Linked DNA regions of Mytilus edulis. The protein of the gene in region 2 interacts with the protein of the main gene of each other region in a pairwise test. Links are inferred from orthologs where the notes say so. Each region holds a gene or a part of one and is shown on either strand. Other genes may lie near its edges. The genes, in order: rho GTPase-activating protein 26-like, epidermal growth factor receptor substrate 15-like 1 and proto-oncogene tyrosine-protein kinase Src-like.

What was found.
Region 1: the proteins of epidermal growth factor receptor substrate 15-like 1 (region 2) and rho GTPase-activating protein 26-like interact in a two-hybrid assay, tested with the Caenorhabditis elegans proteins (2 studies listed by BioGRID). The link is inferred for Mytilus edulis from reciprocal best matches to the Caenorhabditis elegans genes ehs-1 and T04C9.1.
Region 3: the proteins of epidermal growth factor receptor substrate 15-like 1 (region 2) and proto-oncogene tyrosine-protein kinase Src-like interact in a two-hybrid assay, tested with the Caenorhabditis elegans proteins (2 studies listed by BioGRID, with this or other methods). The link is inferred for Mytilus edulis from reciprocal best matches to the Caenorhabditis elegans genes ehs-1 and src-1.

The regions. Positions count from the first base shown.
Region 1 is NC_092351.1:29,716,872-29,724,999, forward strand, and holds the start of rho GTPase-activating protein 26-like, read left to right. Parts: upstream 1-4,821; 5' UTR 4,822-4,921; coding exon 4,922-5,075; intron 5,076-8,128. Other genes in the region: zinc finger protein 330 homolog, read right to left, coding at 1,146-1,216, 1,590-1,609, 4,639-4,752.
Region 2 is NC_092344.1:33,434,926-33,443,294, forward strand, and holds the start of epidermal growth factor receptor substrate 15-like 1, read right to left. Parts: upstream 3,312-8,369; 5' UTR 3,276-3,311; coding exon 3,249-3,275; intron 1,765-3,248; coding exon 1,720-1,764; intron 1,068-1,719; coding exon 978-1,067; intron 206-977; coding exon 62-205; intron 1-61.
Region 3 is NC_092344.1:80,770,659-80,778,948, reverse strand, and holds the start of proto-oncogene tyrosine-protein kinase Src-like, read right to left. Parts: upstream 3,465-8,290; 5' UTR 3,310-3,464; intron 1-3,309. UniProt on the Caenorhabditis elegans protein: Non-receptor tyrosine-protein kinase which plays a role in endoderm development by controlling spindle orientation in EMS blastomere, probably downstream of receptor mes-1.

The DNA.
Region 1 (8,128 bases), on a different chromosome or scaffold from region 2:
GCAAAATAAAAATAAAATTTACTTTTTCTCGCTTTTTTGTTCCCTCCGACCCAAAAAGCAATATCTCTCAAAAATAAATAAAATATCCTTTTTTAATCAAATGAAATGCATTAAACACTAACCGAATTGATAAAACTTTCTGTTGTGAAAACTGAAACTTCCAATTTATGTATCTAAAAATAGACAAATCAATAATAACTGACCTTGAAATGTCGTTTGCGCAAATAATTTTGCGGAACGAAACCTGTGTTTAAAGCCTTTACACATTATGTTCGTTTCCCGTATTTGTCTTCATTCCGTAAGATAGAAAATGGAAAATGAACTTGTCCAACCGTGGAAGACGGCAAGTTAAAGAACTTAATTAAAACATATCCTTTGGAATTTCCTTCAGACTTTTGTCATTGATAATTTAAAAAATATCCATTAAGATATAAAAAACGGGAATGCATGACAACTGATGAACCCAATATACTCGGTTTTTTTCCAGTGGAAGAGTCTATTACGTTTTTGACATGTGTGTTTAAACTTATTTTCGTACTATGTATTTGCATTTTTTTTTTTATCAGTTTTCGTGTTTAAAGATCATTAATCACTAAGTTTCGTGAAATTTGTTTACGGCTACGTTTGTAATATGACGATTTAATTTCGTCTTTGTCCATGGATACAACCCCCCTTTTTTCACAGAAAATTATTAGACAATGTCATGCGATGTTTATGGCAGCTGATTAATAATATTTCATCGATCCAGTATAAGAAATGATGATAAAATAGCATATTGTTAGAAAGGTAAAATGTATTTTTTTTTGCATATTTTTCTGTCTTGGGATATCTTTTTCCTTCTTCTATCCGACTGACTGACTCGACTTTTTCATGGGGAAATCCGTAAACCAACACATTAAAAAACCCTGGCCTAACATATGAAAGAGTTGTGAGAGTAAAACAAAAACAAGGAATGGATTTAAAGGAAGCTTTATAAAAAATTATAATTGAGAGAAAATGTGTTGCATTTTTCATTTCCCTGTATTAAAGTATGCTTTCAACCTCAATGGGAAAATGAACTAAAATAAATGTTATGTAGGCCCTGATGAGCTTATATAACAAAAATACACATATCAAAACACTTATCTGTCAACAAATCAACATACCACACTGTCCACAAACAGGAAGTCTCTGAAGTGTGTTACAAAAATAACAAAATGCTCGGTTCTTCTGTTGCCTGTGAGGAAGGAAAAAAATTTAACTATAAAAACTGATGCATTATAAATATATATATCGTAAAAGGGTTTTTTTTTTTGCTTTGGCGTTGACTTCTGTTTCCTGCTAATGTCTTAACTCTATTGGAAAGTCAGAGATGTAGAAAAGAACTTGAAAGCATGTGTAGATTGCAGCTTTACAAATATCATTTCATCAGAAAAGGATGAATCAACACAACATTTGATAGTACAAGTCACATCATGTTAACTACAAAGCTAATCAAGATTTAATATATAAAAATTTACTTGTTACAGTACTTGCTCACTTATTACATGTATTACATGTATTTTAAGTTATCAAATCTTCTTTTCTTTATTATGTTTATGTTTACTTACTTTTTACACGAATCACATTCCTGAAACAAAAGAACATGATTGTTAATACATTACTTCTCTTGGCAAGAGATTTTCAATAACTAATTTATAAACAGAATTTTTAATTTCCTGACCTTATAATTCCTATCAGCACATACATGTCAATTTCTGCAATCAATCTATGGAATGAGTTGCCAAATCATTGCAAAACTGAAACATCTTTTACTCAATTCAAAAGTCCAATATAAACCTTGTTTGAATGGCAACTCATGCCAATACAATGTTATGTTCTTAACATTTAAGTTTAAGGTTACAGAATTGAAACACATAAGTGCTGTACACAGGGCTGTAACTACATTGAGGCAAATGCCTCATGTTGGAAATTTCAAAAAAAAAAACAAAAAAAAACCAAAACAAAAGATTGTCTTCATATCAAATTGTTTTCACGGAAAGTGTCTTGCAAGACACAAGTTCTCTTTACTCTCAGATGTCGCCCTTGTATGTTTATCGTGGTCCATGTTTCTATCTTATTTTTAGTTTTCAGAGTTGATGGTCTATTGTCATGATTGTTTGTACTTCTGTGTCCCGGGTTTGTCTTTTGTTCATTTATTGTCCTACTTTATGACTATATAGATATAGGAAGCTGTGGTGTGAGGTCCAATGAGACAACTCTCCATCCAAATAGTCTGAGTGTTGATTTTCATTTGTAAACGTGTGGTTTTGCAATGTTGCATGTCAACCAATGTCCAGACATTGTACGAAAAAATATTTTAAGAATATTTACGATGCTACTGGACACAAAAAAATATGGTCGTTTCTGCATGGAGAATTGAACTTGATATCAAAGAATACAAAACTTGCTCTTTTTGTTGTAGATAAAACTAGATAGCTGACATAGTTTAAATTAAAGTAAGACCACCAATTTCTCGGTATCAAATCATCTATAAAAACATCAATGTATTGCCATATGATCTTTTACATTAAAGGGTTAAACTTGCATTAAGTCGTGTTCAGACCCTTTAACAGAAAATAAAAGAAGATGGAGTAAATGGGCACGGGACCTAATCTCACACAAAATTAATGCATAGAAAAAATACAAATGATTAATGGTCAAAGTTTGTATTCTTGTTCTTCATCTTGATAGTTTCTGGAGGGTCTTCAACAATAAAAGAATCATTAATACCGTAAAACAAGGTCAAGATGATCCTTAGTGTCGACTTAAGCAGTACTAGTACTTAAAGTATACTACTGCACTGTCACTATATATAAATCTAGTCACAAAAAAAATCACCAAAGTCTAAGAACAATACGAGACAAAGAACAGACAGACAGACGCGATTTTAATGATTGTGAGAATTACTATTTTTGCTTTATCCTTCATATCGGTCTACTTTTAATGTTGTCCCCGTAAAAGTCTTAAATTACAATGAATCTATGTTTTTGCCTTGAGACCAGAATATTGTCAAAAAAAACGCTAAAAATAAATTGCGTTTCAATGTAAGAAAGAGTCCGGGAAACGCTCAGAATGCACGATTTTGCTTTATTTTTCTCATAGCTTCTGGGGGCCTTGAGCGGCCCCCAGAACCCTTCGCCAAAATTTTTCGCCTCGCTACGCTCGGTGAATATATTTAGCCTCACTATTAAAAGAGGCTAGTTACGGCCCTGGTACATGTTTACCTCAAATACACCAATATCATGTTTTATCGCGCCAAATTTATACTTGTATTGTCACCTTGTTCATATTCCTTTGAGACGGCTTTGACATTAAATTTGGGTCTTTGTTGACTACCAAACTTTCTTCCCAGAATTCTGTATCAGAGGATGTTCAAGGCATTTCCTCAGAAATTCCTTGTATCAATATTATTATTTTATCGTGACCAACAAACAAAGTAATGTTTTTCAATTACAAATCAACAATTTACTGTAGACACCTTTACAAAATTAACAAACAAACTAGGCCAAAGAACATTTTTTTTTTTACAAGAACAGTTAGGTCCTTTAACATGTTTTCTGGAAACAAATACTATATATTAACAAAAAAGGCCCTTGGGGTTTTCAATAGAAATTGCCCTTGGGGTTTTCAATAGAAATTATAACAAGTATACTTGAAAGATTATAATTTGAGAAAATTTCTCGTCTGTACTAGCAAACTTTCACATAGATTTTTACTGTCCATACTGTTGTGCATTAGTTTTTTTCTACATTGACTAGAGGTATAGAGGGAGGATTGAGATCTCAAAAAACATGTTTAATCCCGCTGCATTTTTGGGCCTGTCCAAAGTCAGGAGCCTCTGGCCTTTGTTAGTCATGTATCATTTTTAATCTAAGATGCTTGGGTGTATAATTCAGAGTTTAGTATGACGTCCATTATCACTGAACTAGTATACAAATTTTCTTAGGTGCCAGCTGAAGGACGCCTCAAGGTGCAGGAGTTTCTCGCTGCATTGAAGACCCATTGGTGGCCTGCAGCTGTTGTCTGCTCTATGGTCGTGTTGTTGTCTCTTTGACACATTCCCCATTTCCATTCTCAATTTTATTTCACATAATACATGTGATAAAGTTATTTCCTTTGAAAATTAAGATCATGTCTGATGTTTAATTACGTTTTTTCTTTAATCAGATATAGCACATGCTGCATGAAAACACCTGAGACTGCCCAAAAATGTAGTCAATACAACAGTTTTGAACACAAATATGTCACCACAAAGGTGATCGGAAATATATTTTTCAATTTCTAAATGTAATGATATGATGCGAATAATATTTGTGTACCACAACGCTGCTGATATTTGTTACTCTATGCACCATTTTTGGTCATAAATTATATATGTAGTTTACACATACATTTGTAGCGGTGACTGAACATGTAAGTCATGATGAAATTATGTGCACAGAAATAAGATTGAATACTTAATGGAGTAAAAAACACTGTATATTAAGCATCAATTGTACTACAAATAAAAAATATGGTTCTTAAACAAAGTCAAAGATAAGCTAGATTAGAAATCACCACCCTCCCCCTTTCTTTATGAAATCTTGCTTTATTCATATAGATCTGAAGACTTTGTACCATAATGTAGTTGCATGGCCTTTCAACAAGTGATTTCTCTTGTGTTCTTATTTCTCTCTGTCTTTCTCTCTGCTTTTCCGCTTTTTTTCTTTGACCAGTTTTTTTCTTTGGCATTTTGTCTTTGACACTTGCACATGTGTATACCGGAAATAAAAAAATAATTTCTGAATGAATTGTACGCATGCGTTTTAAAACAGGAAGTAGCTATAATGTAGCTGTCAAAAATCACTCGGCCCCCCAAAAAGCTAAACATTTTGTTTCAAGGTGATACACAAATCTGAAAATGGGTCTTGAACCCCTTGAATTTGCGGAGTGTTTAACTGACAGTCCTGGTTTTCGTGAAAAACTTCACGATCATGAGAAAGAACTTGAGAGAACTAGCAAGGCTATCAAAGCCTTGATTGGTGATGGTAAAGAAGTCTTAGCAGCATCAAAAAGTATGTATTATGTGACGTCTAAATTAGGTTTCAAAAGAGAGAAGTGTCTCTGTTGTATGAAGTCAATTTAACATTAACGAAATGAAATAGTTTCTTTATATTCACAGATATATACAAATTATGTCTATTAATATTATGTAGCCCATTAGTCTTTAGACTTAGGCTTGGTAATTACAAAGAGGGTGGTTAAGGGTTATTTTTGTGCAACGTGATCACCGTTTTTTAATTGACGTTCAACATGTTTTTACTTTTTTATTTGACGTTCAGTCGTGCAAGACGGGTGCCTCGTTCAAAGTGTTCTGCTTATTTAATTTTACGTGCATCGTGATTTTCAAAGTCTTATTTTGCGTGCTCGGTATTTTTCAAATAAAATTCAAACACTTGGCAGGGATCGTCAAGAAATACTTTTTTAAAAGCCGTAAACCAATAATATCATAAATGTGTATACTAAATCGGGAATATCAAGTAAAACAAAGAGTTAACATATACAAGAAGACAGTGACTCAGTCACAAAAGGTTCAAATAAAAGTATTTATTTTTCGTGCAACGTTCAATACAGAAATTATTTCACGTTCAACGTGAAATTATGTCTTATTTCATGTTTTTGACGTGCAAGCATCCCCCCTTTACCACCCTCTACAAAAAATGTATAAAAGTTAACATCATCTATCAGTCATAACTTTGTAGCTTTGGAGTTGTTTGGCCATACATTGTAAGTCGATTCAGCTTTACAATTTGTTATTAAACTTCAATAGTGATTAAATAAGTGTCAATTATAAAGGAGGGTCATAATACACCTTATAAATTGCTAACCAGGCTGACCCCAGAATCGGACCCACTCGAACTTTTGTCGTCATACAACAATCACTTTTCCATTGTGGGTTTTGTTGTATTTTAATGTCAAAATTTTTCAGGAACCTGTGTGATGTCCAGTAATCTGGTAATCATGGTAATGGCGGAAAATTAGCAATAAGGTGTATGAGGGTTAACTTCATGACGAATAACAATAATAATTCATGCAAAATGGTGTTAATAGTATTTTTGTGGTGCATGTCAATAAAACGTACACTTTCTTTTAGAAGATGAAAAAAATAGACTGATTAAGTTATGTTTAGATACATGTAAATCACTTTAATTTTTCCTAAAATAACAGTAATGATAATTTTTTGAGACCTCTGAAGAATCTAGGTAAAATTTAACCAAATCGATGATAATGGTAGCTGTAAATTACTATTTGATGCCTACAATGGTTAAGGGATTTCCTATCCTTAGAAAGGTGTATGTCTAAGGCCAACTAAAATTAATTAGTAGATTTTCATCCAAATTTTTGAAAATAATGGGGCGGGTGGGAGGATTTTATTTTTTAAATTTTATTTCATATGAAACCCTTTTGTGACGAGTTCTTCGTATATGCAAGTGTAATAATAAGCTTGTATCATGTATACACAAGTATGAGGAATCTTACATAATATTTCAAATCCTTAAATAAATATATCTAATTGCGGCTTTAAAAACTTTTAAACAACAAAAACGTGTGAGAAATACTCTCTTCAGTTAGACTACCTACACAAAATGTATTTGGGTTTCTAAACAATGGTTTGTATTACCATAAAATGAAGCAAATGCATTGGTATGCAACACAATTATTATGAGTACAGAATAAAATGAAAGCTCAGAGAGTGTTGAAAATAATAGGGTTGGTACTTTATATGCAAGATGAAAATATAATTATCATGTAAAACATGAACTTAATAATTAAAAAAAAGTTGTTGTTTAATGAGTCTTTTTGGCTGTATTGTGACATTTGTCAACATAAAAAGACAGCCATGGGTAAAATCAAAGGGCTTGCATAAATAAAATGCGTATGTTAGTCGACTTTTTAAATTCAATAAACGGTCATAAATCTGACAAGTTCGTGCTTGTGTTTCAATATCTATAATTCAGTCATGTTTTCTGTATCAATGGTTTCCACGAATCTTGTGCTTTGGGTATCATTTACAGTTTAAATTTCCTGAGACAAAGTCATTGCATAAATAAAAAAAGTCAGCAGTTTTCTTATCACAGAAATGTGTGACATACTGCGATTTGCAGTCTTGGAAACAGCGTTTTTCTCGTAACACCAATATTTCATTGTCATTCTCGTTATCAATCTTTACTCTCGGAAGATGATGTTGTCATCATAGAACAGCGGAAAGGTAGACTTAATCATTTTGGTTAGATTACTCGAGGTACAAAACCGAAATTTGAAACAGGAAGCATTGAATGAAACGAAATTTTAACGGTTACCGGTAACGGGAATGAACAAAATCCGGAAATCGTAAATTTTATAAAATAAAAAAATTCGGGGCGGGGCGATTTCAGAGGGGCGGGCGGGGATGAAAATCTATCAATTAATTTTAATTGGCCTAATAATAAACCAATCAAATTGTTATTGAATCTAATCATTGTTTGTCAAAACAAGAATTTTTTAGTCTTTCAACTCGACAGAGTATTATTTTTTTTTAAACTAGGTTCCAAACCCTAATTCCTTAAAGCGTCATTGTTTATTTTTTCCAGGCTTTTACCATATTTTGGTTGCATTTAGAACTTGTGAAACTGCATCTGTAAATTGTAAATAGTTTCATTTACATTGTATGTAGAACAATGTAGAATTTTGCTTAAAATCAGGATTTCTTAAAATTTCATCTAATGTTAATTCATGTACATGGCCAAAGTAGCACAAAAATGTAGACAAAACAACAACATGAACAAAGGCTATGTGGCTCTGCGGCAGAAATGTCTGGTTTCCCATTAAGCATACATTGTAGCACTGACATTTTAAAATAGTCTGTAGACTTAAAATATAATGATATAGATTTAGAGAAAAAGAAGATTTCCAGATAAATGAAAATACATGTAATGGACTTAGAGACAGGGTCCTTGTATTAAAAGGCCTGTTCACTCATCCCTGAAAAAATATTTTCTGTCTGGAAAACTCTGGATGAGAACAGTCCTTTTCTCAAGAAGATTTATTTACAATGTACTGCTGTTAAAAAAATACTTGCTTGTCAAGT
Region 2 (8,369 bases):
AACTGTACATGTATGTATAAGCAATGAAAATTCAAAATTAAATGAGTAATTTTATACATACAACATTAGGTTGTGGTGCATCAATTATCAGATTCTGTAAATTTAAGTCCTGGTTGCTCTGTGATAGTGCAACCAACTTTAAAGCAACATAAAAGCCTGGTTTCTCTAAGTATCCTTTTCCGGTTGGATCTGACAAATCCCATATCTGCAAAAGCATAAAATTTATTCTTATCATACAAACTTCATCAAATACTTGCAAATGATTTCTTATCAAATGAGCTTCATAGCTTGCTGTTTGGTGTGAGCCAAGTCTCCATGTTGAAGGCCGTTTTTTTTTTTTAACCTAAAATGGTTTTCTTTTACAAAATGTGACTTGGATGGAGAATTGGAAGTCATACCATATCTTTTTTATATCTATTTACCAATTTTGTACTCATTGCATGTCATCTATAATGGCTCACATTTTGATTGAACAACATTTTCTACCAGGTACATGTATACCACCAATCACAACTATCCCCAATCTCATAAATAAATGTACTCAGAAAACTATATAACCATATTGCTAGTCTGTTCGGCTTGAACCTGTTAAGGTTCTGTAATGTTTTCTTCTAAAGCTCTGTGGCTAGTTGCATATTGATGTGCAGTAATTAGCAGTTTCATTCTCTCTTTTATAAACTATTCAGAATTATAGCAAACCATCAAATCCTATATTTCTACAGGAGGAAATTAGAGGTTGAGTGTCTTATTGTTCTTTGTGGTCATTACTAAAATGCATTTTTTTGTTTTTTTCCCTTTACACACAAAATTCAATAACAGCCATTTTATCTAATTTTCTAAAATCTAAAAGCTGCAAGAAATACTACAATATATAAGATAAATCAGCTAATTTTTATACCAAAAGACAGTTAAATTGTATTGAGCATGATGGATTTAAAGAACAATCATTTACTTTTTGCAGATAAAAATTACAATACCTGTCCCAAAACTGAGTCTTTGAGTCCAGATTTCTTCAAGAAATTTGCAGCATCTAAAGCTCCTATGCTCCCTGTTCCTTTTGGATCAGCCTATAAATACATAAAAATATATAATTATTTACAAATATACTTTCAAGAGCGAGTCTTTTTAAAAACGAGGCAATTCAAATAAATATCAAAACATGGTCAGAAAAAAATGACCAACCTTACCATGCTATTCTGAACAAACCATCATCCTGAGCTAGAAATAGTATGTCTTTTGTTTCTGTATGTCTGATAATTCAAAAGAACTACAGACATGACAGATAAGTTTTGGTTAGAATGAAGCAAATTACAGAGTTATCACCCCTTAATTGTTTATTCATAGTGCATTTCAAACAAACTGTATCTTCTATTACCAGAACAGGAAACGAAAAAGAAAGTTATTTTCGCACATTTCTTCCTTTTATGAACTGAAATATTAATCAATGTCAATTTATGTAGGTCTCTATTTGTCAAGTTTTTAACACTGCCTGATTAAGTTACGTGTTGTACAGCACATGCATACATATGTATAATCTTATGTTTTTATCTTTAATTCTGATAACCCACCATGCAAGAGCTGTATAGCCAGTCAAGGTCTTTTACACTCCCATTTATATAATTCTGTTGCTTAGCTACATTTGTATACATCACTTTAAAATAGTGCTTTGCTAAGTAATAGTACATGTATCTGATGTAGTGATCTAACATTAAACAATACCTGATTATAATATGCTTCATAAACTAATGCATGGTTACCAGCAATCTGAAATTTTTAAAAATACACAGTATCAATAAATGAAATTCAAACTATAAATTGTGTTATCAATTTTTTTTTTCTTACATATGTAGAGTACTAGAAGTTTCAAAAGAGCCTGTATTGCTCATTCAGCATCAAGATCTTTGTCTTATGAACGGTCATCTTCATCTAACAAACCTTCATAAATTTTTGTTATCTTGCTTACATACTTCTTACCTTTTTTTTTTACATGTTAGAATTAAAAAACATGAATATACATGTACATGTAAAAATTATAATATGATGTGAGTAAAATTAACATCCTTTGGACAGATAAAAAAACAGCTGATCTGCAAGGTATACGATCTGGCAGTACTTGACTATACAATGTATCTCATATTCAGTGTTACAACCCAACATAAAGCCGACAAGGAAAGGTAATACTTGACTAATGAAAGCTGTATTTTTATATAGCCAAGTTAGTTAAGTGGTGTTTGGTGCTGGAAACAGTAATACCACAATGTATCAGATATGCAGAGGTTCAAATGAGTATAAGCTGGTTCATTCGGCTAGATAACCATGATAACAAGTTTACCCATAGAGTCAGTTAGACCTGGGTTCATTTGCCATGTACTTTTACGAAGAAAAAATAATTAAATATTGATTGTAGAAAGGTTTATAAACTTATTCAGATATTTGTATGGTAAATATTAAAAAACAAAATGAAGAATATATACATTTTTTTGAAAATCAAAAAGGTTTTTTCAAATGAACTAATCATATTAGTCACCTTGTGACGGAAAACATAATTTATATCTGGTAGCAGCATTACAATCATGACAATATTTTCATCAAACTTCAACATATATTTTTTTTTAAATATTTTAAATTAAACAACAAGACATCCATGAAATCTAAATAATATAAATACGATATTCAGGCAAACAGAACCAAGGGCAAACGGGTATGTGGTGGAATAGGCACAAGGGAGAACAAACATTGAATCGTTCAAATCCTGCTTTATGCTAATCATGCAAATGCAAATTTGCACATCTAGCTTTGTTGGACTAAAATTTGAGAAAAGCAAACAAAGATGTACTATATGAACTTATTCTTCTTCTTTGTTACAAGTCGAACTCTGTACTAAAGTGTAAAATATGTGTTAAGTGATCAAACTAGAAGGGGACATGATCAAATAATAGTACAATGTAGTATCAGAAAAAAATTGTGTGTTGGGATATAATGTATGGCAGCTAAGTTTGTTTTAGTAAGATTCTTTAACAATTAAACTTATTTAGAAAGAATCAAATACACAAGAAGAAAGAACAATTATATCTTACGCCCAGAAGGAGTTATAATTTGCGTGTACTTGAGGTCAATTGTCTAGTGCAAAATATGATAAACGACTCGACCATTGAAATACATTTTCTTACTATTTGCTTAATTGTTTACGACAAAGTGTGCATAATGGCGAAAAGTATCGCCTTTTAATGAATAACAGAGTTTCAAACCTGTGGAAGTGGTGGAAAATTTGACATCCTTAACCGGAAATGTTCGTGTGCTGTCTAATTTTTATGTGAAAAAACAGTATCGGTCCAACTGGAATTTCCGGGTGAATTAGATTCAAATTCGTGTTCCTAGTAAACTGTAAATCTTAGCAAGACCGATTGATACAATTAGAGAATTTGTGTTCTTGGCAATCTCAGTTATTCGAGGATTTACTGTAACATTTATTTTCTATCTATGAAAAAGTTACCTAAAACTGTGGTACACACCGAATAACAGCGTAGCACTAATAGTCCAGTCTAAACTAAAAGTTAGGTTAATTAACAGTTTGCACCACTTCTTTTATATTATTTTGAGAATAAAAAAATAATTTTACAGTTATTGCTTACTACGTAATTCTCAATTACATTTTAGGGGAGTAAATCATGAAAAAACGTTGATGATGTCATGATCACATGACCAAAATTATGTCAGTTTATAAAAGAAGTGTTACGTCCAAAATGTAATTATTTAATGTCAGAAATTAAAACAAAAGCAAACTTTTGAGAGTCAGATAGACTATATGCCAGGCAGCAGTTTGATTTAATTATAGTACAGCATGTACAGAATGTGGTCCACAATGGCGGATTTAAGGAGCAGAGCCGGCCCAGGTCCTCAAGATATTGAGCTACATCATGATTATATACTTTAATGCAAAGACTTTTTACAACTTGCACTCCAAATGTTGCCAGTTGTCGCCGGTCCCCTTTATTTTAAATTCTCGATCTGCATCTGGTTCATTGAAACTATTTTTTACTGATTATTTTTTTCAAGTTAAACTGTGGTTAATTGGTATTTTTAATTGGTCACAGAGACGTAGATTTCATTCAGGCAGCGATGGCAACCATCGGCCGCTCACCAAACGGCTTGTCAAAGAAATAGGAAGGTATAAGAGAGATACGATCAGTGGCGGGTCCAGGGGGGGGGGGTTCCGGGGGTTGGAACCCCTTTTTTTGGACGATCAATGCATTTGGATGGGAGCTCATAGTTGGAACCCCCCTTTTTACTCTAGATTGGGACCCCCTTTTTGAAATGGCTGGATCCGCCCCTGAAGATGTGCAAAGTTCATGTATATCACATATCTACTGTATAAACTTAAGATGGTTAAACAAATTGACCTCAATACCTTTACACACGTGTTACTCGTTTTTGACTGAAAGACAGAGTAAATAAAATAGTTCATTTTTGTTTTATAAAAGTGACAAATGTATACTTAAATAGCATGCTTTAAGAACGAATAATTTATATAATTTAAAAAAATCATTGATTGTTCCAAGATGTTAGAAATTAAAATTTTTGGCATTATACCTATTATGGTTGTTTGTTTTTGTTCCCACATTGGTGTCAATATAATGGAATTTGTATACGACTGTCAAACAAGTGTGAGGTTTAGCTTGTCATGACACCAGGTTTAATCCACCATTTTCTATATTAGAATATACCTGTACCAAGTCAGGAATGTGACAGTTGTTATCCATTCGTTTGATGTGTTTGAGATTTTGATTTAGTCAATTTGATTAGGAACTCCCCATTTTTGAATTTTCAGTTTTTTTTAATTTTAATTTTATGTGCTCTGCATTTGAACTTTTATACGATCATATTACTCACAGGCGTTTAAACCAAGCAATATAAAAAAGAAGATGTGGTATGATTGCCAATGAGACAACTATCCACAAAAGACCAAAATGACACAGACATTAACAACTATAGGTCACCGTACGGCCTTCAACAATGAACAAAGCCCATACCGCATAGTCAGCTATAATAGGCCCCGATAAGACAATGTAAAACAATTCAAACGAGAAAACTAACGGCCTTATTTATGTAAAAAAAATGAACGAAAAACAAATATGTAACACATAAACAAACGACAACCACTGAATTACAGGCTCCTGAGCCTACATGACCCACCGCTTTGAATGCGGTTATACAATTGTTTGCATGTAAATGGTATAATTCAACAATTATGCATTTTTGATGTTCTGTTTTTTCCTTCTTATATATTTGATGTCTTTCCCTCAGTATTAGTGTGTGACCCGGATTGTTTTAGTTGAATCGATTCATGACTATTAAATAGTGGTATTCTACTATGGCTTTGTTAAATATTACTAATTTAAAAAATCTATACTACAAAAAAACCAAACGACAATCTAATATGTGAGGTTTTTTGGTATTTTTTCATGATGAAACATGTGAAATTACAGACTGCAGTATTAGACAAAATAAAAGGAAACCCTTGTCCATTCGTTTGGTGTGCCGTATGAGCTTTTGATTTTGTCATTTGATAAGGGATTTCCGTGTTGAAGCTTCCTCAAAGTTCAGTATTTTTGTGAGTTTATTTTTTTTGTTAGATTGATCGAGTCAATACAAATATAATACGATATATCAAAATTGATTTGGTTAGTTAAATGCTGCTCTCACAATTACCGCTTCAAACCTACCAGTATTTTAACTTTTTTCACAGGGGTAATGTTTTTCTATAATGATCCCAATATTTCATATATTCTATCTCACCCGATTATGCGGTTGATAAATGACTTCTTTTGACTTCCTTAGCTTATGTAAGTAATCTATCTTGAGCTAAATTGTAAAATATTTATTCGTTCATTGTATGTTAACTTGTTTTTGTAAATATGTCTTTTATTTTTAGTTAATCCATTTCAATCTAATTTTTTTAGGTATTTTATAGTGTGTCTTTTTATGTTATTTTGTTACACTTCTTCCTCAGGCTAGTGTGAAGGTTAGTGCCTGTTATAACCTTTAAACCTGCTGCATTTGTTTGCACATGGTTGTCGTTTGTTGATGTGGTTCACAAGTGTTTCTCATTTCTCGTTCTTTAAATATATTAAACCGTTGGTTTTCCTGTTTTAATTGTTTTACACTAGTCATTGTGGGGCTTTGTTGCTGCTGTTCGGTGTGAGCCAAGGCTCCGTGTTGAAGGCCGTACTCTGACCTATTGTGGTTTAATTTTACCAATTGTTTCTTGGATGGAGAGTTGTTTCATTAGCACACATACCACATCTTCTCATATCTATCTTAATAAAAATAAGAAACTAGCTTTCATAGATCTGCCTACTCGAATACTAACCATTTTATAACATGATGACGATTGCATGAAGTGTAGTATGCTCTGGTGTTTCTCTTTATATAATATTTACAAGTATTAAACAAGTGTAGATAAGTGTGGATAATATGTTAAGATGTCTGACAGTGTTTTCTGACAAAAATATTTAAATAAGGTTCTATGTTTAACTGTGTTGCACAGTGAAAGTCAAACAGATTCGTTTATTCAGTATCTAATTTTATGTTCAAGACTGTCATGAAGGAAACATTCATCTGATGGATTACCAGATTCTCAACTTTGATTTTGGAAAGAAGCAAAAACTCTAGTTTAGGGAAAAAAAACATATTAGATGCATTTCTGCATGATGTGCTTTTATATATGAGATGGTATTTATGTGATTGCATCTCCCTATCGTTTACGACTGATAATTTAGCTAGTCTGCAATCAATTCCATTGTCATGCCTAATATACTATACTGTGTTACAACTCTAGATTCTACTAACGAGGAAAGGTAACACTAAGCCACCGAAAGCTGAATTGTTAGTTAAGTCTACGTGGTCGATCGGTCTTGAATGCAGACGGTGTTGTCTCGATATACCCATGAACAAATTTGCGGATATACTATTGTTGTGCTGATAATTAGAGTAATTATGAATATAATATGTGTTTGAAGCCGTGTATCCCCTTCACTGGTCATCCAATGGATCTTTAGTAGAGTTGTCACTTGTTTGGACGTACTAAGACCCCTCTACAACGAAATTTGTTTTACATGCACACTATATAAAAATTGCGGTTTTTATAAGTGTTGTCAACGGTTAACCGTTTGAACGACCGAATACCAAATACGCTAACCGGTTAACCGGATATTTTTTCACTTTTGATAGATTTTAACTTATTTGTATTGAAATCATCAATTATGTTTTCTTTAAAAATTGTCGTCTTGGTAATTAAGTTGACAGATCAATTGTCCAGTATATTGATTGCTATTGCTTATCCAAAAATAAACAATTAATTAGAACTTGTCTCTCAGCTCGGGGCAATTTCTTAAAGAAACATAATTAGTATATAAATGTTTTTTTAACAGAAACTTTAAATCAGTAATACGATTAAATTTTACGATTTACTTCATTATTTCGTTTTTGATCTAATATTGTGTAGACCTACATCTGAATTTGCAATCTCCTAGTCTTACTTTAAACGGAATGCTAACTCAAAAATTGTGATATGCAAACCAGTGTGAATGTAATCGATGTATACTTGATAGTACGAGTAACATGCTAAATCATTTTAAATTGAAGCATTATTTTCGGAGACAACAAGCCAAAGTGAAAGAAACATCAGTTTCAGACAATATTAAATTCTACGAGATCAAGAAGGTTTTTTTTCAATCTGAAGTTAGTACAAACGCCATAGTTGATACAGTGTATTTGATTATTAAAAGTCAAACTTCGCCAGGAATCTTCATAGAAAATCCTTACAACACCAAAGGACAAACTTCAGTTCATCGTATTATAAAAGCGTAAATGTATGACTTGGATAGAAGGTTGCCACATTGACACTCATACCACATCTTCTTATATCTATGTGTAGGGTACTATAGATAAGGCTATCAAACATCAACTTAAACTACCGGTTAATCGGTCGAACGATTATCCGAGTAACCGGTTAGGCAAAAGTGTACGATTTGACAACACTAGTTTTTATCCAACGCAATCATTATCATAGGTTTGAACATTGTTTTTAATTTAGACTTGTTTATATATACTAGTATATATGTATATATATTGGTGTTTAACGTTAAGTATAATCAGAAGACTATCAAAAAGTAATAACCGTTGACCAGTTGTTTCAACCCGTTTGATAATTAGGCCAATATATATTTATAAATACAGCTGTACTAACATTTGGACATTTCTTACAGAGGCTAAGTTATTTAGCTGATATATGTTTTACTTTTTTACCAAACAATATAACTGCTTTGGTATTTTATCATAGTACTTGTGTAGGACTGTACAAGTTATCA
Region 3 (8,290 bases), about 47 Mb from region 2:
GTCTAGGCACCTATTAACCGGTGCGTATGTTCCTTTTATAATATCCCCCTGCAACCTTATTCAGGTACGCAGATAGATTCTTATTCAGAATCTATATAATCTTTATAAAGTGAAAACTATTACCTTGAAGTTCTTACTTCTTCTAGACGTTTGGATTATCCAACAAGTACCCTTTGTTATATATATATATATGGTGGTGTTTAACGACCTTGACTGGCTATACAGCCCTCGCACGGTCGGCTCGGTGCCCGAAGACGTTTGGTGAGCTTTAACATATTTTGATGCCGTGGGTCAGGAACAAGTAGTGGAGGTCGCAATATGTAGGCCGCCATCTTGGTTTTGGTGAGTTGTTTTTGGTTTGTTTACTATTTTGTTGTTTATTCTTCACTAACGGCTGCTTTCAGGGCCAGTTTGGTCAGCTTGGCAGCCCGCTAGCCTCGATGATGGAGTACTGGTAGATGATCTCGGACGTAGTTCGAAAGATGACAGGAAGCGTTATCAGGACCAAAGCCGTGAGGCAGTGAAATGAAAGTCGTATCACCCAACAGCCTAGGATACAGCCCTCGGACGTTAATCGGCATAACACTCCCCATGATACAATAATTTTGGAGTGCATGTTAAATTGACAGCACATCAGCTTATATACTAAGGTTTTGGACCATACCATTTAATTTGGACGATACCATATGTCTTATTCATATGAGTGTTTATAATAACCTAACCCTTAATGCTAAAACGTTTGAATGACGGCCCTTATGTTTACGACTTCCGATCTGAATATTTCCGGGTATGCTAACCACGACCGGTCCGTTACTGATTCTAAATATTATAAATATCCATAGCAATGTAAACAAACAAAACCAAAAACAAAACTTTCAAACATAACGAGTTCGTATAACAAAGTTTCAGCTTGATAAAAGAAATAAAAAGAAGAACACTAGTAAAATAAAACAGGTGAACCAAGTTCATCACATCACCCATGCCTCCAGGAAATGCGTCCCCGCATTTATCGAACACAATTGAGCACATCTACATCAATTGGACATTTTTCAGTCCCAAACTCTATCCGGGTATTGCCTCTGGCCATGCCATTTAAAAACCACAATTATAACCGTTACTTCTTCAGTAGCTAACCACTAGAACAACTCGTAGATGTGTGATCTACCTGACATGACACGATTCCCACTCAACTGTATACCATTGTCTTTGCACTGGAGGAAACGTTAAACATAGACATCAACTTAAACACATCAACTTTATCCTAAGAACCCTTACTTCTTGATTGAAACATGCATGCTGAAAGATTTTTGAGCAACCAATCTTTAACTATGAAAACTAACACGTCAAAATTACTTCTAAATGTTGGGCACTGGGAACACAAAATAGCTTTGAATTATTTATCTCAAACGCTAAACCTTATATAAGAGATTTAAATCAACGTAGTTGATTCCGGTTTAGATAGGTTTAATTATATTTTTTTTTGATAGATGCACAACCTTAAAATTTCAGGATACTGTTATCCCATGTGATGTCTAATATATTTCATTAAAAAAAAACCGACTTCTTCTTTTCATTATTCATTTTGTTATTAAGAATGATTTGAAATATTTCATGCTATTTATTTATAACTAAGAATAGTGCTTACATCAGTGATTACAGGTACCCCTCTTGTCGCCCCTTTATATTTTTGATATTTTAAGCAAACATTTAAAAAATTAAACTTTCAAAAAGTGAAATAATCAAAATTGCACGTTAGGTTTAGTATTTTAAAAGTTTGATCAAGTTTCTAAAATATCAAATTTATAAACGATATTTAGAGTTTTGATATTTTAATAATTTGGTTAAAATTTCAAAATTTCAAAACTTTAACACAATTTGAAATTTTGATATTTTAAAACTTTGATCAAAATTCCAAAAATCTAAAATTTCAAAACTTTTTATAACTTTGAATTGATAAGTGTTACACGGACCGAGTATCTACAGTACACTGAGAAAATGTTTTGAGTTAGCAGCAGACAATTAGGGACACATTAGTTACCATTAACATGGCATTCAGTTCTAGATCTTCAATGGGAGTTTTCGTACTATTTATGTTTGTGTTGGGCATGAGAAAATCATTTAAGGTTTCAAGTACTAGTGTGGTCACTTATACAAGATTAAACAGAATGGTGCTCCATATTAAAATATATATACAAATATTTAGCAAAGCTACATGTACATGCATGACCACTTACACACCATAATGACGATAACAAAGATGCTTAAGGACACTTGATAAACTTTAAAAGTGCATGGACACAGCGCAGTCCCCTATATTTAATAAATGATCTCATCAAGTTGTGCTTATCAACAAACTTTTCCTGTGAAGTACATATCTTGAAAGGGGTCTATTGTAATAGATTCTGCAGTATCTGATAAAAATCGTAACAGTTTTCTGTTAAGCTCACCGACTGTCACTATCTGATCTCTGTCAGCAACATTCGGAAGAGTGGGTGCACAATCCAGACAAGTTCAGACTTTTTTTATCATGCAAAGGATACAATTTGGATCAGAATCAGATTAAAAACAGGATAAATGGTAAAGCATCCTGAACAATATCTGATTGCTGTTGCAATTAAATAAATGTGTTTACAAATTTCCAGCCATTCATGAATCACATGATCTCAATTGATCTAATGTTTAGACAATTTTAATGAGGAATAGTTTAATATCAAGGACATAAATCTGAAGTCAGTATATATATATATGCACCACAATTACAAGTGTAAGCTCTGAATTGTACATTGAACAGTAATATAAAGTCACAATGTGTGATTTAAGCTTTTTAGATTATTAAAGAGAACAACATGAACAATGTCAGGCCAGAGACTGGCAGAGTTGTTATTTCTAGTATGTGTTTATAAGACTACACTAACACTCTGTCAATTTTCATATCTTAGCCAACAAGTTTTTTTTTTTTGTACATAAGCTCAAGCTGATGAATAATTCTTTCAGGCCTAGTCAGCTAACTTAAACTAGTGCAAAGTTTCTACAGGCTTTAAATATCAAATGCACCTGAGACTACTATAATGTGTTATAGTAGTCTCAGAATGCACCAGTACGGCTGTGGCATATTCTCAGGGTCTCTATAAAAATCTATTTTATTTGCGCAATGTCAATTCATTTCAAAGTATTGGGGAAGTCCCTACCTGGGAAATCAACAGGTAATGTACCACTGATGTGTATAAAAAGAAAGTTCATTTATGTTTATATCGTGATCTGACATCAGAGACAAGTGTGAAAACATATTGAAAGTACTCTCTTTCTTACCTTAGGTCTTTTTAAAGTTCGCCAAATAAAACCCTCTTCATTAATAAACAGAAAAATAACAGGAAGAACTTTACCAAAGTGGGTGAAACTTTAACTAGGAAGTAAAACTATATATATCTGTATCTTTTCGATTGTTTGTGGTACTTATCTTTACTAAGGGGAAATAACTCTTAATTTTAGCAGGTGCGAGTTTTTTCCGCGCTACAATTCAAATATGAATAGACAGAAGACACAAAACCATAAAGCAGAGGCGGATTTAGGGGGGACAGGGGGCCCGGGCCCCACTTTTTGGGGAAAAAAATGGTTGCTTATATCATAGGGAATCATTGAAGTGTGACTGGAGCGGGCCCGCTCTTATCTGAGGTCCGACAGTGGGCCCCCGCCACTTATGAAAATTTCTGGATCCGCCACTGTGAAGCTTTATTTAAAGTCGTTATAATGCAATAAAATTACAAGAAAATAGCTTGTTTTAAACAAAATAACAGATTTAAGGAATGGATATATTATGTAACCGGTCACTTGCACAGGGACTCGGTTAGCAGATATTTTTTCTAATCTATGTTTTTTCAGTATTATTCTATTATTCATGATTTGACTTTTGACGATGCGAATTTAAGCATGGATGCAATTTGGATACTCTCATTACAGAATCATTAATGGTTTGGAGGTCAGTTCAGACCAATTTTTCTGTTGTATAGTAAATAATGATACAAAATAATCACATAATGAAAACTTTTGTCAACTGTTATAATAGGTGAAATTTGGGTACCCTCACGTTACAGATATTGATAGTAAACTGCACATGGCTAGAAAACAAACAAGTATTGATGTCAACGTTAAAAACGTTAATAATGTAATACAGGAAATACGAAAAAAAAGATTGAAAAAAATTCGTAAGGGTTCCGCGGAACCCAGTGTCTCGCTTACTTTTGCTGTAAATCACATGCTCAACAATAATGAGAAAAAAATCAATAAAAAATATTTTTAAAAACTTTAACTGCAGACTATATGTTATGTTAACTGGAAGAAAAACTAAGTTCATTTATAAATAAGTAAAATACAGATACACAGGTACAAAATTTCCTTCTAGACAATAGCTGTTGATCATAAACAAGCTTCTGTCTAAGTTTGGTACAAATTAAAAATAGTGTAAGAAAGTTATTAACATTTTAAAAACTTTAACCACCGAGTGAATGTAATGTTTCCCTGCAAAAAAACTAAATCCATTTAAAAGTAAAATACGGAAAAAAGGATTATTCTTTTTACAAAATTTACTTCTGGATACTATTTTAAGATCATAAACACGTTTCTGTCCAAGTTTGATACACATTAAAAATAGTATAAGAAAGTTATTAAAATTTTGAAAACTTTAACCACAGAGTGAATGTAATGTTTCCGAGCAAAAAAACTAAGTCCATTTAAAAGTAAAATACGGAAAAAAACGGAATTTTATTTTTACAAAATTTACTTCTGAATACTATCTTATGATCATAAACAAGCTTCTGTCCAAGTTTGGTACAAACCCAGGATAGTTTAAGAAAGTTATTAAAATTTTAAAAACTTTAACCACAGAGTGAATGTTATGTTTCCCGGCAAAAAAACTAAGTCCATTTAAAATTAAAATACGGAAAAAATGGAATTTTATTTTTTATAAAATTTACTTCTGGATACTATCTTATGATCATAAACAAGCTTCTGTCCAAGTTTGGTAGAAATCCAGTACAGTTTAAGAAAGTAATTAAAATTTCAAAAACTTCAACCACAGAGTGAATATTTGTGGACGCCGCCGACGCGACGACACCGACGCCGACGAAATGTAGGATCGCTATGTCTCGCTTTTTCGACTAAAGTCGAAGGCTCGACAAAAACAGAGACATATAATACTTTAGTGTTATATGTCTCTGAAAAAACATAGATTAAAAAAAAATCTGCTAACCGAGTCCCTGTGGTTAAAATGGCATAGATTGATTAAAGATTTGTATAGTAAAAAGCCAGTCCTTCTTTGGTCATCTTTTCCATGATACGTTTTATGCATAATTAGGAACATCTAGAGCTGAAACACTCATTACCGTATGAACTTGTCGCATGATAATGATGATCCGTGCTTGATGACAAACATCTCTCTCAGTGGTGGATCGAGGGTGGGGGTCCGTGGGGATGGAACCTATCTTTTTTTGACGATCAATGCCTTTGAGTGGTGGACATATGGTTGGAACCCATCCTTGTAACCTTTTAGACCCCTGTCTGTTTCCGAGAGTCTTCGCCATCGCAATCGAAACAAGTGCAGTAACTGTATTTTTTTTGTCGGTAGGGACGAGGGATGGATACATATACCCTACTCATTCCAGTCTTTATTTATGTCAGGGACTTTCTATACTCCCTGTTTATGTTTGATGTTTTAAATGCTTTGTACCGACGAGTTAAGACTTTTTCAACTTATAGTTTTTTTTCGCATGTTGTGCTGTTACACCACCGTCCCAAGTTTGGGGAGATGGTTGAGCGTGCATTGCAAACATGTTTAAGTCCGCCACATATATTATGTACCGTCACTGCCTGTCCCAAGTCAGGAGCCTGTAATTCAGTGGTTTTCATTGGTTCTTGTCTTGTCATATTTGATCATTTTTTAAGTTGTTTTTGCATGGTATAAATTAGGCCGTTAATTTCCTCAATTCAATTGTTTCATATTTTTCATGTCGAGGCCTTTTATAGCTTACTGTACAGTATATGGGTTTTTCTCACTGTTGAATGTCGTACGGTTGCCTGTTATTTCTTTCAACCACTTTATTTGAACTTGGTGAATATTTGTCTCATTTAACAATCATACCACATCTCCTTATTTTTAAACGAAACGAAACAAAATACAGCTGTACAAATATAATTGTTTGAACTTTCAACGGTGAAACATGGAAAATGAGTCGACAGATATATCTAGCTATTTAAAACAACAAAACTTTAAAACAGATTACGTACCCTCAGGAGGATTTCTGTGCATTCTTTGATGTAATTTCAAATTGTAGGTTATTTTAGTTGTTAAAATTCATTATTTATGATACCATTCTTATATTTTTCTGCAAGTTTCAAAAATCATCATTCAGACGTATGAGAAATTTTACCAAAAGTTAAAAGTACGAATAAAGTATCAAATAAAAGATACACACATAAAATATTGAAAGAACACTAGTGTCAGTACAATTGTATTTTAGTCATGATAACAATGGCGGATCAGAAAATGACTACGTTTTTAACAAAGCTGTCAATAACAGCGATTATCAGCATCTGATCTCCAGCCCCATTATCCTAAGTGACAAATGTATTGAGACATCATGAAATACTGAGCGAGGGATACAATCACCAATGAAGTTCCTGACTATAGTGACAGTAACACGAACTTCAATGTTGCAACTTAAATTAATTTGATCTCAATCAACTTTTGATTCTGGTCAGTCAGTGTCATATCAAAGGTACACAGACGAACGTACAACAAAAATTCGGAAAAACTGTCATTGTTGCAATCTGGCATTACGACCTGCTTGTTGTATTTCCTAGGTTCTACACTTTCTACTATAAAAAAGAAGATGTGGTATGATTGTCAATGAGACAACTATCCACAAGAGACCAAAATGACACAAGACATTAACAACTAATGGTCACCGTACGGCCTTCAACAATGAGCAAAGCCCATACCGCATAGTCAGCTATAATAGGCCCCGACAAGACAATGTAAAACAATTCAAACGAGAAAACTAACGGCCTTATTTATGTAAAAAAATGAACGAAAAACAAATATGTAACACATAAACAAACGACAACCACTGAATTACAGGCTCCTGACTTGAGACAGGCACATACATAAATAAAGTGGCGGGGTTAAACATGTTAGCGGGATCCCAACCCTCCCCCTAACCTGGGACAGTGCAACATAAGAACGAACTATAAAAATCAGTTGAAAAAGGCTTAACCCATAAGATGGGCAAACATACAAGTAGACGTGGCCGGGTACTTATACATCCCGACACAAAAAGACGCAATGAACAGATCTGAGAGTACTCGCAGTTATCTGACAGCTAGTTCAAAGCCACTAACAACTAATAAAAAATCATGCATCTAAGAGGGGTCATCTAAGACTAAACTATCAATCCGTACACATCCAACATCCAATGGATTTAGTGTAAAGACGTCATAAACAGCCAGAGAAAAACATGACCTTGTGCAATGCCAAGTTACAGGTATCGACAGATTGTAGCTCCATGAATATGTATATGTATATAACATACTAGTAATATTTAGTTAGCTTTTAATTTACTGATAACAAAATCAATATTTATACCAATAAAAACAATATTTAATGATCTTATTACAGTGTTGAATAGGTAACCTTTTAGAATAAGTTTATTTAAAGGAGCGACAAGTTTACATGGATCATTCTACTATGTTTTCTTTGGAATTAGATGTGGCGGTTAATGCGTGCATACGAGAACTGATCTCAATCCGTTTGGAGTATATTCGATTATGATTTTTGTCATTTTCATTTTTGTATGTATTGTTGGTCTTTTTCTTGTGTTTTTAATTTTCTGTAGTAAATATTTTTTAATATTTTCACATTCCACACAGAGGAAGAGTAGAGAAACCATGCAGTGCCCTTTCATAGATGCCATTGAACTTGAAGACACATTCATGGAATTATCAACATTCATGAACTTGCAGTACTAAAACATAAAGTATAAAATATATATGTTTTTAAGTACATGCAGTTTATTTTCAAAAGTTACTATCATTGAAATACATTTGAAACATCTATTTCGATGGAACGATGGGTCGTCAAAAAAACACGCTACTGATTAAAATTCATCTAAACAACAGATGCAATTTTCAAGTTCAGTTAAGCCAGAAACACATTTTAGTATCTATGTCTCTAGTTAAGTTCTTCAACATAAATCGCTTCACATAGATGCATTTATTTTTTTGTCATTCTCTGCAGAGA